Struthio camelus: one gene and its partner. The protein of the gene in region 1 interacts with the protein of each later gene in a pairwise test. Links are inferred from orthologs where the notes say so. Each region holds a gene or a part of one and is shown on either strand. Other genes may lie near its edges.

Region 1 (6,499 bases):
TCCTCCCTTTCTGCACGCTCGGCTAAACGTGTGACTCACCTCGGTTACGAGTCTAGTTGCTCTTTTGTTGGAAGAGGCATCTCCCGGCGTTCCCGCGCGGTTCGCTACAGCGAAGGAATCTGTTTGCACTTAGCGAGAAACCGCAGAGCAAGGGCAAAGGCGCGCCGAGCCGGAGAGGTGCGCGGCGCCCGAGCACCCGCGGCGCGGGGCCCTGCCTCCCCAGCCCGCGCCGCGAGCACCGGTCGGCCCTGCTCGCGGCGGAAACGCCGCCAGCAACCTTTTCAGCGGAAGAAAACGGGGCTGCCAAGAGCCGCGCGGCTTTGCCGCCCCTTCTGCCCGCCCGGAGCGAGCGACGGCGAGGGGGGGAAAAGCCGGTTAATCAGAGGAGACATAGGGTGTTGTTGCACTCCACCCAACAGGCGCATAAATACATGAGGGCAGCCCGGTCGGATGCAAAACTGGGCAAGACATCAGGTCCGTCCCAAAAAAGCAATGGTACCTTAGGAGGCGTTAAGCGCCGCGGGCGAAGCTCACCTGCTCCTGTCTGACGTCCCGCGGCCCCGGGCGCGTAAGGAAGGATGAAGCGGGCATGGTTTCCCCCGGCGGGGTTTGGGGCACTTTGCAATGCTGCTCTTTACGGCTGCGTGGGTTTCCCCCGCGGTTTGGAGAGGTTGGCGTCGCTGGGCGGCAATCCCCGGCTCGGCGCCGCTCGCGCTCGCACGTGGGTCGGCCGCTCGGGCTCGGCGGGCGCTTGCGTTTGCATCGAGAGACGCCGCTTCCCAAATCGCGTCGCCGGGGCGGCCGGGGCGAGGTGGACTTTTGGCGTGCTTATTGCCTACAAACGGATGCGGCGGGGGACGTGGACCGAGCGGGACGGTCGGCGGGCCGGGCAACGGGTGCGGAGCGCCCGCCTCGGGCCGGCACCCGCTCCGCGCCGGCGTCGCGGCCGTCCCGCGGGAGCTGGAAGCGTCTGGAAGGGCGGCTGCGGGAAGGGCACCCGCCGAGGGGGCTGGCAGCCGGGATGCCATGACAACCTTCGGGGGTTTCCCAGGAAACCGGGGTCGCCATGGCAACTGCATCACTCCGGTCCGAATTAGCAACTTCCGCTGCAAGGCGCCGTCGGCCGCTTTTATCTCCTGGCGATGAAGCGGCCGCCGCTCCCGCGACTGCATCGCAGCCGGGCGGAAATCTCCCGCGGGTTCGGGTGCCGAGCGCGCCGCCGCCGCCGCCAGCCCCGGCTCCGCGCCGGCACCGCTCCCCGCGCCCCGGGCTCTCGCCGCGAGCGTTAAATCTTGCGCTTTCGTCTCCCCCTGCCCCGTGCTCACGCTCGCCGGGCGGACAGCAATTTTCTGTCGGATGCAATAATCCCGTAGGGTTGCAGGGGAAGGGAGTTAGGAATAGAAAATGAGGAATTTTTTTTTTGTTTCTTCGTGCTGTTTAAATCAGAAGTGATTACACTCGCTCTCCGGCCAGATTAGAATTTCAAAAAAGATCTAGAAGGGGAGAAAAGGGAATCTGGGATGCGCCCCTAATGGCACACCACATGTTTCGATATTAAGCATCATTTAACAATGTGGTAACAGAGACTCTTTGCAAAATTAAGCGGTCGTTTTCCTCCCAACCCCCATCTCCTTCCAACGAGCTCCGCAACATGTTTTTCTCGTCTCCCCACCCAACTCGCGGTTGCTAATCCAACAAGTGAGCTTATGTGATGGAAGGGAAAACAGCTACACACTGCCTTTAGGGAAGGGGGAGGACAAAAACAAAACAAAACAAAACAAAACAGAAGCCAAGCAAGACGTCCCCAGAAAGGAGAAAACAAAAGCAGCCCTGCCACACGTTGCAGAACAAACACCTGTTTCCAGGGTGAGTGTGTTTTGCCTTCGTCTTCCTCGCCTTTACCCTTTACCCGTCCTCTTTTCTTCGGAGCATTTTAAATCCTCCTTTTTATGATCGATAGAAAGGAACAATCTAAAAAAAAAGGAAACGTATAAAACCAAGGGCACACACGGACCGACGATGGTGCATGTTCCACACAACACTGAGTACACAGTCATTTTGCATTATTATTGTTGTTGTTTTGCAACGCAGCCTCAGGGTTTTGTTTGTTTGTTTGTTTGTTTGTTCTGTTTTGTTTTTAAACGTCCGTAAAGATCTTTTTGATGTTCACACAGTTGGGATTGTTTGTGGTTGTGCAGTTGCCTGTCTTAAAGGTAGCCTGTTTGAATGCACTGTGGTTGATGCCCCCTTCTTCTATCACCATGTACTCCGACTTGCTGAGGGTGGAATTGCTGCGAGCCTTCCTCATTTCCTCGGTGGACGAGAGGTGCTGGCAGCTGCCGACGTGCATGTACTGGGCTTGCTCCTCACCTTCGGTCTCCCGGTGGTAGAAATAGTTGAAATTGGAGACGATGACAGGCACAGGGAGAGCAATGGTTAGCACCCCCGCGATGGCACAGAGAGACCCCACAATCTTGCCCCCGATCGTGATGGGGTGCATGTCCCCATAGCCCACTGTGGTCATGGTCACCACTGCCCACCAGAAGGCGTCGGGGATGCTACTGAAACCCGAACTGGGGTCATCGGCCTCTGCGAAGTAGACGGCGCTGGAGAAGAGGATGACGCCAATGAAGAGGAAGAAGATGAGTAAACCCAGCTCCCGCATGCTGGCCTTGAGGGTCTGCCCCAGGATCTGCAGCCCCTTGGAGTGCCGGGAGAGCTTGAAGATGCGGAAGACCCTGACTAGGCGGATGACTCTAAGGATGGCTAAGGACATGGCTTGCTGGCCGTTCCCTTGCCTCTCGGCCAGCTCGGTGCCCAGCGTGATGAAGTAGGGAATGATGGCCACAATGTCAATGATGTTCATGATGTTCTTGGAGAAGGTGGCCTTGCTGGGGCAGGCGAAGAAGCGGACGAGCAGCTCAAAAGAGAACCAGATGATGCACAAAGTCTCCACCACAAAGAAAGGGTCGGTGAAGGACGACACCATGGAAGCAGCCGAGGACGAGGAATTGGTGAAGACATCAGGTGGGAAAGGGCCACCACCCGTCCCAAAGGTCCCCCCGGTTCCCTCATAGTCGTGATCATCCCTGAACTCAGGCAGGGTCTCCAGACAGAAGATGACGATAGAGATGAGGATGACCAGGACAGAGACTATGGCGATGCCTCGGGCCGGCCCAGAGCTCTCCGGGTACTCGAAGAGGAGCCACACTTGGCGCTGGAACTCCTTGTCGGGCAGCGGCCTCTGCTCCTCCCGAATGAAGCCCTCGTCCTCCCGAAACTTCTCCATGGCCTCCTCCCCCAGCTGGTAGAAGCGGATCTCCTCGGAGAAGATGTCGATGGGGACGTTGACGGGCCGCCGGATGCGCCCGCCCGACTGGTAGTAGTAGAGGATGGCGTCGAAGCTGGGCCGGTTGCGGTCGAAGAAGTACTCGTTGCGGAGCGGGTCGAAGTAGCGCATGCGCTTGCGCGGGTCGCCCAGCAGCGTCTCGGGGAACTGCGCCAGCGTCTTGAGCTGGGTCTCGAAACGCAAGCCCGAGATGTTGATCACCACCCGCTCGCAGCACTCGTGCTCGCCGCCCGCGGCGGGGTGCCCGGCGGCGGCGGCGGCGCCCGGCGGCGGCGGCGGCTGGTCGTAGCGGTCGCCGCCGAGCAGAGGGTGAGGATGCTGCGGCTCCTCCGGCAAGGGGTCGCCGCCGCCCCCCGCCACCACCACCGTCATGCTGCCTTCCTCCGCCTCCTCGCCCTCGTCCTCCTCTTGCCGGGCGGCGGGCGGCTGCTCGCTGTAGCCCAGGTTGCGGTGGCTGCTGGCGGCGCTGCCCCGCGGGGGCCGGCCGGCCGAGGAGGCAGCCGGAGAGCGGAGCAAGCTCAGGCGCTCGTCCATAAAGGTGGGGGAGAAGGGGTCGGGCAGGACGGAGGGGAAGGAAGGAAGGAAGGAGGCGGCGGCGGCGCCTCTTCTTCTTCCTCCTCCTCCTCCTCCTCCTCGTCCTCCTGCGGGCGGAGAGGGAGAAGCAACCGCCCGACTCCTCCGGCGCCCGCTGCCGCTCTGAGCAGCGGAGGCTCCTCTCAAAAAATCCGCCCCCAGCCCTGGCGCCGCCTCGCTCGCCGGAGCCACCCCCAGCAGCGCGCCCCGGCCGGCCGCGGCCCCCCGGCCCCCCCGGCCCCCCGGCCCCCGCGTCTCCCCTCCGCGGCCGCCGGTCGCGCGGGGGGAAGAGTTTTTTCCTGGCAGCGGCGCTGCCTAGAAGGAGTTTTCCTGCTTTCCCCCCCCCCCACCCCGGGGGGAAAGCCAAAATGTGATTTATTTTTTTATTTTTTAACGCCGGCGCTTCGGCTCTGCCTGTCCGCTGCGGGTCACCGTTTCGGGGACGCGGCTGCGGCTAACGGGAAGCAGAGACAGCGCCTCAGAGAGCAGCCAACAGTTGTTTTGAATCAGCATTTCAGCTACAGTCGGAGGGATTTTCTTTTCTTTTCTTTTCTTTTCTTTTTTTTTTTTGCATAGGAGAGAGGTTGAGACAGAGCGTGCGTGTGTGTGCGCGTGTGTGCCTGTGCCTCCCCGCAGCCAAACAAGCGGAGGAGCGAAGCGCAGTCGGATCGCAGCTGAAGGCAGTCGCAGTCTGAAACGCAGATCTGCCTTTCAGCGTTTCCCCCCCCCCTCCCCGAGCCAGCCAAACGGCTTTTCATTCCCCCCCCCACCACCTCCTTGAACTGATCTTATGCAAATCGATCAATTTTGATGAAAGGGTTTTTTTTTTTTTTAAAGGGAAAAGCCTCCACCGCGGCGACCAGCACCCAGCACGGCTCGTGCAAACGCTCCGGCCCCGTGAGATTTGCCCCCAGAGCTCTCCCCAACCCACCCCTCGCTCTCCCAAAGCCCTCTAATCCCAAGGCACGTGCCAAACAGGGCTTGGGCAATTCAGGGAATTACCCGCTCGGGAAGAAGCCCGGCCACGAGGCTCAGGGAGGTGTGAGAGGTCCGACCGCGCCGCCTTCCCTGCGTCGCCCGGGTGGTCCCGCTGCGAAGGAGGTTAGAAGCGCTCCGGCAGATTGGAGCCCCACTCCGGCTTATTACCGCGGTTATTTTTAACTAGAACAGCCTCCAGAAGGTAGGGAGAGAAACAGATGAAAAGATCAAACTTATTTATGCTTTAAATTAGCAACAAGCTGCACAAAATATACAAAGCCATAAAAGAAGCCAAGCACGGGGGAAAATCAACACTAAACAGCGCCGCCAGAGCTGGCTCCGCACCGGGCGCGGGAACGCCGGACCGACGCTGGCAGAGCCGACGCGGGGAAAAAAACCCTTTGTCCCAAGGCATCAGCGCCCACCCGTCAGGTTTCCCAGGAATTAGGCACACCGAGGGGGTCCCGCTGACAAGGTGGGCCTCCCACGCGGCGCCGAGGCCAAGCAGAGCCTTTGGCTAAGCCGCCCGTGGCGGTTGCATCTCCCAAAATCATCCCTGGTGCTCTTTCCGGACAGCATGCCCAGCATGGCAATTTTTTACACCACCAGGAAAATTGCAGGCTCCCCTGCGAAGACGGTCCCCTGCGATCCTGCTTGCACGGGGACGTGCACCTTGCCATGGAGTTTGATGCATGTCCCTTGTTGTCACCTCCATCCTTGGCTTTAAACCCCATCCATGGAGGCCCGTTTCATCCGAGGCTGCAAGCTGGCCTTGGAGGAGACAGCTGGGCCAACAGATCCCCATCCGCTCACCCCGTCTCTGCTACCGCAATTAATAGCGCAAATCCGGGATGTGCTCCCAGCGAGAGCAAGCACTCCTCCCTTTCAACCCGGAGCATCTCCCAAGTTTCCCAGCCCCCGGACAGGGCAGGAAGCACAGCCTGGGCTGATCATTAACCCTTGAGCTACCGGCGTTGCTTGTAGGTTAGGAAAGCCAGGAAAATTCCTCGAAACGACTGCTGGCATCCCAGCGCGAGGAGCTATTTCCTGCGCGTTTCGTGAGCATGAAACAGCCATCAGCTGCGCACCGCGTACATGTGTGTAGCACTTCAAGACTTGTCTGGCTCATCCCTTTCCTCTGCCAGGATTTCTGCCAATAAATCACTGTCATCTGGTCTAAGGCAAACAAACAAGGCTGCTTTCATACCATAAACATTTATCGATGACAAAAGGCTTGAGGCAACCTTCCATAATTGCAACAGTTTATTCTGGATCTCCGTCGGGGTAAACCCGGGGGAAATTGGTGCCAGCAAAGCCATCCGGAGAGCGCTGCTAGGAAAAGCCCTTCTCCAAAAACCGGGAGCAGGGTACAACCCTTTCCTCCATCACCCGCAACCCAAACACGCATTAACCCTCGAGCGCCTGGCGTTGCCCCACTCCCCAACCTTCCCCGTCAAGGGATTTCTCCGGGGGCTTTGGCCCGGCCACCCCAGGCGCCGCTTGGCCTCCTTGGCCTTATTTACTCTGCGGCCGCCTCACCGTAATCCCATCAAAGCCAATTAGGCTGCGCCAGGCGGAGCGCTTGCCGAGCTCCCGCGC
Region 2 (6,499 bases), on another chromosome or scaffold:
CTGCACATCAAGGGAACATGTCTCCTGCTTCTCACAAGCAAGGGTTATTTTTAAAATGTGCTATGGGAAGTATTTCAATGCAGACAACACTGAGGCCTTTTAGAGAGCTGCTTACAGAGCAGATTCCTCGTTCTCTGTCTAATCATTTCTGTTTCATGGTTGACTGACTTGTCCCCCGTTTCCATGCTATTGTGCCTCATAGCCAAGTGGCAAGAAATGCATTAAATGCTGACTAAAAAGTGGAAGGTTCTGAACGCAGAAAACAGAACTGTTCTGAACGAAGTCGAGCTAAGCCTGAACCACACTTCTGGCTTTAAAATACCTCTGAACACATTTTTGCTAGGTCTTTCAGTACCCTGTTGAGATTGGGGATCCCTTGTGTTATACAAGCATATTTTTTACACTCTGCCCTGGACAATATACAACTGAAGTAAGAAAGGCAGACATACAACAGGAGGGGAGCACAGACTGATGGCTAAGGCAGAAGCAGAATCTTTATTTCTTCACCCTAATCAGAGTTTGTCCACAAGGAACTGGATCTGAACTTTATGGCTACTTCTAATAAAATGAATTTGAAAATAGTACCCAAATAAACTAGAACTGTGGCAAAATTCTCTCTGGACTTTTCAGGTTGGACCGATCTGTGAAATACTCGTAAATGCTTATGAATATCAAAATCATTCTTAACTGTCCTTGTAACAAGACAGAAAAATGTTGCTTTGCAATGTCCACACTTCTTACAAATGCTGCTGTTGTTACAATGCAGAATGGATCCGGCCTGGTAAACATCAAATTCATTTGGATACTTTTCTGCGTCTTGATGTGACTATTACTCTCACTACCAGAAACTCCCTTGCTGATACAGAGGCGGAACTGGTATTCGGGGTGTTTGCTGTTTTCAATGAATGCATTTGTTGGTCCACGATTATTTTGAAGGAACAAACTGGGTACCTTGTTTTTTTCATCCCTATAATGCTTACTTTGCCCCTGTGGGAGGCAGAGGGGGCTGGACAAGCTTTATACATTTTGGGCTCCTTTAAGTCCATTAGGAGTTTTTTCCATCAGTGGTCCCTCTTTCCCAGCAGGATCTTTCTTTCTCTAGTTAAGTTTGTGGATACCCAGATTCCAACTTGCCTGGGGGCTATGACTCATTCTCAGAAGTTTTGGTTGCTCTGGGGACTTCTACAGTTGCTGTATGCAATGAGCTGTGATGCCGTCTCATTTCTCAGCTCTTGCATTCCCTGCCTACTCTGCTGCTCTTCCATGGCTAGAATAAAAAAGAATTACTCTCTCCTTTTTAAAACTAGCCATTTTAATAGAAGTTTTGTACTACTAGGCACTTTTGCAGACCATTTTTTCCCCTAAAAAAATGCAAACTTTACTCTTTTTCTTTCTAGACCTCGAATCCAATGGATCCTTAAATATATAGCCTGCTCTGTGCAATAACTTTTAGGGCTGATCCGACAAGAGGGCTAATTATGCACAGCACCTTCAAATTGTGCTGAAGTCAGCAGAATTTGAGGATACTTGGGACCGTATTATATTGTATGCACAGGGCATGAATCATTTTACTGACACACACATTTAGGGACCAAGGTCAATCTTTTCATCCTCTGGAAAGAATACGATGTTTCCATTTTTCAGTGATGGTTCTTCCTGACCAAGGGATTGGGTGAACTAGGACTGTGCTGTGCTGGACCCTAACTGAGCCAGTAAGTGGATTAGTTTCACGCTGTGACTGGGTGACTCCTGTTTTTCCTAAGTTCTGACAAACCTAGGTGACAGCACCCCTAGCCTTCACATGTGTAGTATAAAATTGCTCTGCTAAGGGAAAAAACAGCTTTATGATTTTTCTGACCAAAGTGACTTCAAGTAAAAAATCTCCATTGACCTAGATTTGTTGAAACAGTCAAGCTCTGAATTAAAAACCCGACCAAAAAATCCAGACAAGGGGGCAGTCAGTTTTTGCTTAGCCTGTTTCCTTTTAGCATTTCTATCGGGAGGGAAAAATACCAGGAAAAAGAAAACAAAACAAGGAAACAAACCCAAACTATGACCAGGACCTCTTATTTTGCACCCGCTTGGCGTAGGGAGGGCAATCTGTGTGGGTCCTGGAGGCCGTACCCAGCAGTGCGGCCAGCTCCGAGCTGCACTGCTTAAGGCGGGTTTGGTGCCACCTCCCTGCCCTGCCTTTATACGTGCCTGAGGGAAGGAAAATCCTTCTGCCAGTGTTACATAAGGTCATGCAGCTTCTTCCCCACTCTCCCAGCGCCGGCCGGGACGCCGCGGGGCAGAGCAGACCTGCGGGCGCGGAGCCCCGCGCGGGGCCGCGCTTCCGCGGGGACTGCCGTAAGCCCCCGCGCGGCCGCGCACCAGCACCGCGCTGCCGCGCCGGGCCCTGCGCGCCCGCGGACCGGGCCGCCCGGCCGCGCTGCAGCGGCGTCAGCCCGGGGAGAGCTCCCAGCTCGCAGCCTGCTGCGCTCTTTTCCCCCTCACTTTTCCTTTAAAAAAGGAAAAAAAAATCCAGCACCCCCTCCGCTTGTGCGGCAGGTGGAGGGGAGCGGCTCAAGGGCAGCTGCCGGAGCGTGCCCTGGAAACGGCCGCAAATCCGGTGCCGCTGGCAGGACGGGCAGCTGCTGCGAAGTAAGCGGCATCACCCCCCGTGCCCGAGCCCGCCGCCGGGGCGCCTCACCTTGACCACGTCGTCGTTGAGGTGCTTGGGGTCTCGGTTGACCAGGTCGATCTCCTTGGTGTGCACGTCGTGCACCACCTTTTCGCTCAGCTCATCTGCCATCATCTTGTTGTTGGGCTTGTAGATGTTGCCCTGCTCCCGGACGGGCGCCGTGTACAGAAAGCCCTGAGGAGAGGGAGAGGCGAGGCGAAGAGGCGGGCTGGGGGCGGCGGCCCGGGGCTCCCGCGGCGGTGCGCGCAGCGGCGGGAGCGGCTCTCGCCGCGGCTATTTAAACGCCGAAGGGGCCGCCCCGCTCCCCCCCGCGGTACCAGGCGCGGCGCTGGCTCCGGCTCCGGCTCCCGCTCCCGCCGCCAGGCGTCCCAGGCCGAGCGCGCCCCGCGGAGTGACCGCGCCGCCGCCGCCGCCGCGTCCCGCACGCCCCGCGGGGCGCCGCCCCGGCCGCCGCCCGCCGGCCTGCCCGCCGCTCCCCCCGAGCCGCACCTCGACTGCCCCGGCCCCCCGTGCCCCCCTGCCCGGGGCGCAGCGCGGCTCTGCCCCCGCCGCCGGCAGCGCCGAGCCTGCAGCAGCCGAGCCGCGCCGGGTCACCCCGCGCAGCGCCCTCATCATACCGCTCTCACCTTACCGCCCTCGCCGTGCCGCCCTGACCCTACCACTCCCCCCGCAGCCCCCTCACCGCAGCCCCCTCACCTGACCGCCCTCACCGCAGTACCCGCACCGCACCGCCCCGGCTCCGCGCCACACCGCGCCCTCGCCGCGGCGCTCGCAGAAGGGCGGGCAGCGGCGGCGCCTGCCCCGGCTGCAGACCCGGCCCTCGGGGGCGAGCCCGCCCGGGGCTGCCCCCCGCCGCCGCAGCCGGCACCCGGCGGCTCCCCCGCAAGGCCGTGCGCGGCGGGAAGCGGCGGCGAGCTGCCCCCGTGCCGGAGCAGCCCGCTCGGCTCCGCTCGGCTCCGCGGCGGCGCGGGGCAGCGGCGCTGCGGCAGGTACGCGGCGCCCGGCGGGAGCGGCGGCGGAGCGGGTCTGAGGCGGCCCCGGCAGCCCTACCTCCGAGTCTACGTATTTGGTACCGGACATGCTGCCCCGGGCTCGGTGGCGGTTCTGCCTCAGGTTTCTCTGTGCTATAATTTGAACGACCGGAGGAAGGAAGATCCGTATTGTAAAACAGCTAGCGAGGGGGGAGGTAGCTGCGCGGGAGACAGCTGGCCGCCGGCCAGGGGCTGTTCCCTGCGTTTGGCTTGGATGACAGCAGCGGCAGGGCTAGGCATCTCCCGAGCGCGGCCGGGGCTGGGAGGGGAAAGTAACCCAGCCCTCGGCAACCCGGGAGCGGGCTGCCCCGGCCCCGGCTGCCGGGACCACGCCGGGCCGCCGGGGGCCCGGCCGCGCCGCCCGGCGCTTCCCCCGCCCGCCCCGCGGAGCTGGTCCCGCCGGCCGCCGGCCCCAGCTGCTCCCCTGGCCGCCCCCCTGGACGCCTCGGGGTCCCCCCGGGCTGGGGGCGGCCGTGCCTGGATGCGGCAGAGCCGCCGAGGAGCAAGGAAGCAGTGAGGAGATGGAAAACTTTAGTTGTGTTTCAAGTCCGGAGCGGAGCAAGGAGTGAGTTTGCAGGACTTTTCTTCCTCCCCCTTCCCCCCCGCCCCCCGCCTTGACAGCAGTCTACACATAGCCATTAGTGCCCCAGGAACAATTGTGGAAACTTGGACATCCTTGGGTTGAAGAAAAGGAGACTTTCCCGACTGGTTCATTTCAAAACTATGCAAATATTTAACAGTCCTGCACTTGAGTTGTACAATATTTTTCCTAGGAGGAGACTGACCCATGCATGTCTGCCATGCATATTAACCACTGGCACTCTACTTCTAAAAAGGCATGGTGGGACCCTGTGACTCTTTGCCATGCCTTCTCTTTGCCTTCTATTCTGAAGGCCCTCTATAAGCTCTGGTGCATGTGTCGGTGTAACAGCTCTCAGGGTCCTTCGCTGCGTTCAAGACGGTTCAGGTTAGGGTTACAATGGCACTGCACATCTATAAACTATTAGTTATAGCCCTGCATTTTTTGGTGCTTGCAACCATCAGTGTTCTGCTAGGAAATCAGCTTATAGTGTAAGATTTGTCACATTAACAGCAAAATAAAGTAGGGTTAGTGTTATGCCATTTAGCACAGAATTGCAACAAGAGAAGTAGAAAATTTCAAACTGCACTATATTTGGCTCTGGCAACTCAACAGAAAAAGGACCGCAACAAGCCATTGGCTAAGATGGAAGTAGGCTGCACAAATGTAATAAATGCACCTGTTAAGAATGCAGTCTCTGTGGATACGTATTACTGATATGGTCATCCATTAGCAGTGAATTTTAAAAGTTTTCTGTTGCTCATAAACTTTAAAACAAATACTTCTGAGGTGGATGTTCTCCAACTTTCCAAGTTGGTTGTAATTTTTAAAAGTGACTTTATTGATGCAATAATTCGCTTAAGCCATCACTAAAATATCTTCTGCTTTCCAGACATTTCAGTGTATGCATAAAGTCACATGGGTGAACTGAGGGACATCATCTCAGTGAAATTTTTCACCCTGTCTAAAGAAAGACAGGTCTTTGATTTATAGGCTGACAGTTTTTTAATTAGCTAGTTTCCTGCATGTGCATCAGAAGATTTTGACCCATCATTCAGTATTATTGCATACCTCAAGGATGACTAAATTAAGGGATGTATTTGTTAGCTTGAAATGCTACTCTGGTCTTGGAATAGTTTCTGCAGAACTGCAGCACCCTTAAAAAAAATTCTGAATCACACAGCCCTAGTGCAGCTAGAGGAATATTGGAAGCTGGTGAAATTTATACCTCTGTGAGATAAACCCCAGAACAGGCTACTTACCAGCAGAAATGATCTGTCACATCTGATGAACCTTAGAAGTGCTTATTTGAGCTTGAATATTACAAAAACATCCTACAGAGATAGGTACATACATAGGTACTAACATGTTGTGAATGTGTGGGAGTTATGTTTGCAGAGACTAAAATCATAGCCCATTGCTATGTGGCCTGTTGTATGAAAAATGCACCCAGACAGTCTTCTCATTGAGCTTTGTCCAGGTCACCTCTTGATATATGCTACTTTAGCTGGCCACATCACTGCCTGTCTTCGTTCTCCATCACACCAGCTTTAGGCATTTTATGCCTAATTTTAAAAAGTTTTTTATGCTCCAAAGCTTTGCTTTAACTGAATTTTCAAACATCAGGATTCAGAACTGACTGTAAACATGGAGAAGCGTCTATGTGCAAGCTGTGAGCAGTTCTTCCCATTTTGAGAAAGCTTTTGATATGCGTAGGAAATATTTCTTTTAAAAAGCCAGCACAAAAGTTGGATTGGATGAAATTCCTCAAACAATAATGTCAGAAAATGAGTCATAAGAGTGAACTAAATGTGCATGACTGCTCATTGAGTGTCTCTGGCATCAAATGCTCCCTCTCACTCCACTCTGCACATCTCGTCCCCTGCTCCTTTTTGTTGTGCAATTATTGCAATTCCAGTATTAGCAATACTCCTAATATATTCCAATGTCAGCAAGATCAGAATCAGCCCTGAGAAACTGTTCTCTTCATGTGTAGTCTCAACAGCATCCAGGCTGTCAGATAAGAGAGATTGTCAGCAAGCAGCCTTCCTTATGCAGAGTGCTTACAAAACTCAGGCTCAGCTCTTCTTTCTGACTCAGAAAATTAGAAGATCACTGATGCTCTTAGGAGTCTTCTGTTTGACTGCTTAAGTGCATCCTTTTATGCACATTTTTGGGAGTTGGATGAAAGCCTGAGATGCCAGA

Evidence for each region.
Region 2: the proteins of KCNA3 (region 1) and CAV1 come close enough for resonance energy transfer, tested with the Homo sapiens proteins (2 studies listed by BioGRID). The link is inferred for Struthio camelus from reciprocal best matches to the Homo sapiens genes KCNA3 and CAV1.

Annotation. Positions count from the first base shown.
Region 1 is NC_090965.1:4,565,912-4,572,410, forward strand, and holds the start of KCNA3 (potassium voltage-gated channel subfamily A member 3), read right to left. Parts: upstream 4,043-6,499; 5' UTR 3,884-4,042; coding exon 2,138-3,883; 3' UTR 535-2,137; intron 1-534.
Region 2 is NC_090942.1:29,186,162-29,192,660, forward strand, and holds the start of CAV1 (caveolin-1), read right to left. Parts: upstream 4,057-6,499; 5' UTR 3,764-4,056; coding exon 3,734-3,763; intron 3,527-3,733; exon of another isoform or gene 3,380-3,526; intron 2,858-3,379; coding exon 2,693-2,857; intron 1-2,692. UniProt on the Homo sapiens protein: May act as a scaffolding protein within caveolar membranes. Forms a stable heterooligomeric complex with CAV2 that targets to lipid rafts and drives caveolae formation. Mediates the recruitment of CAVIN proteins (CAVIN1/2/3/4) to the caveolae.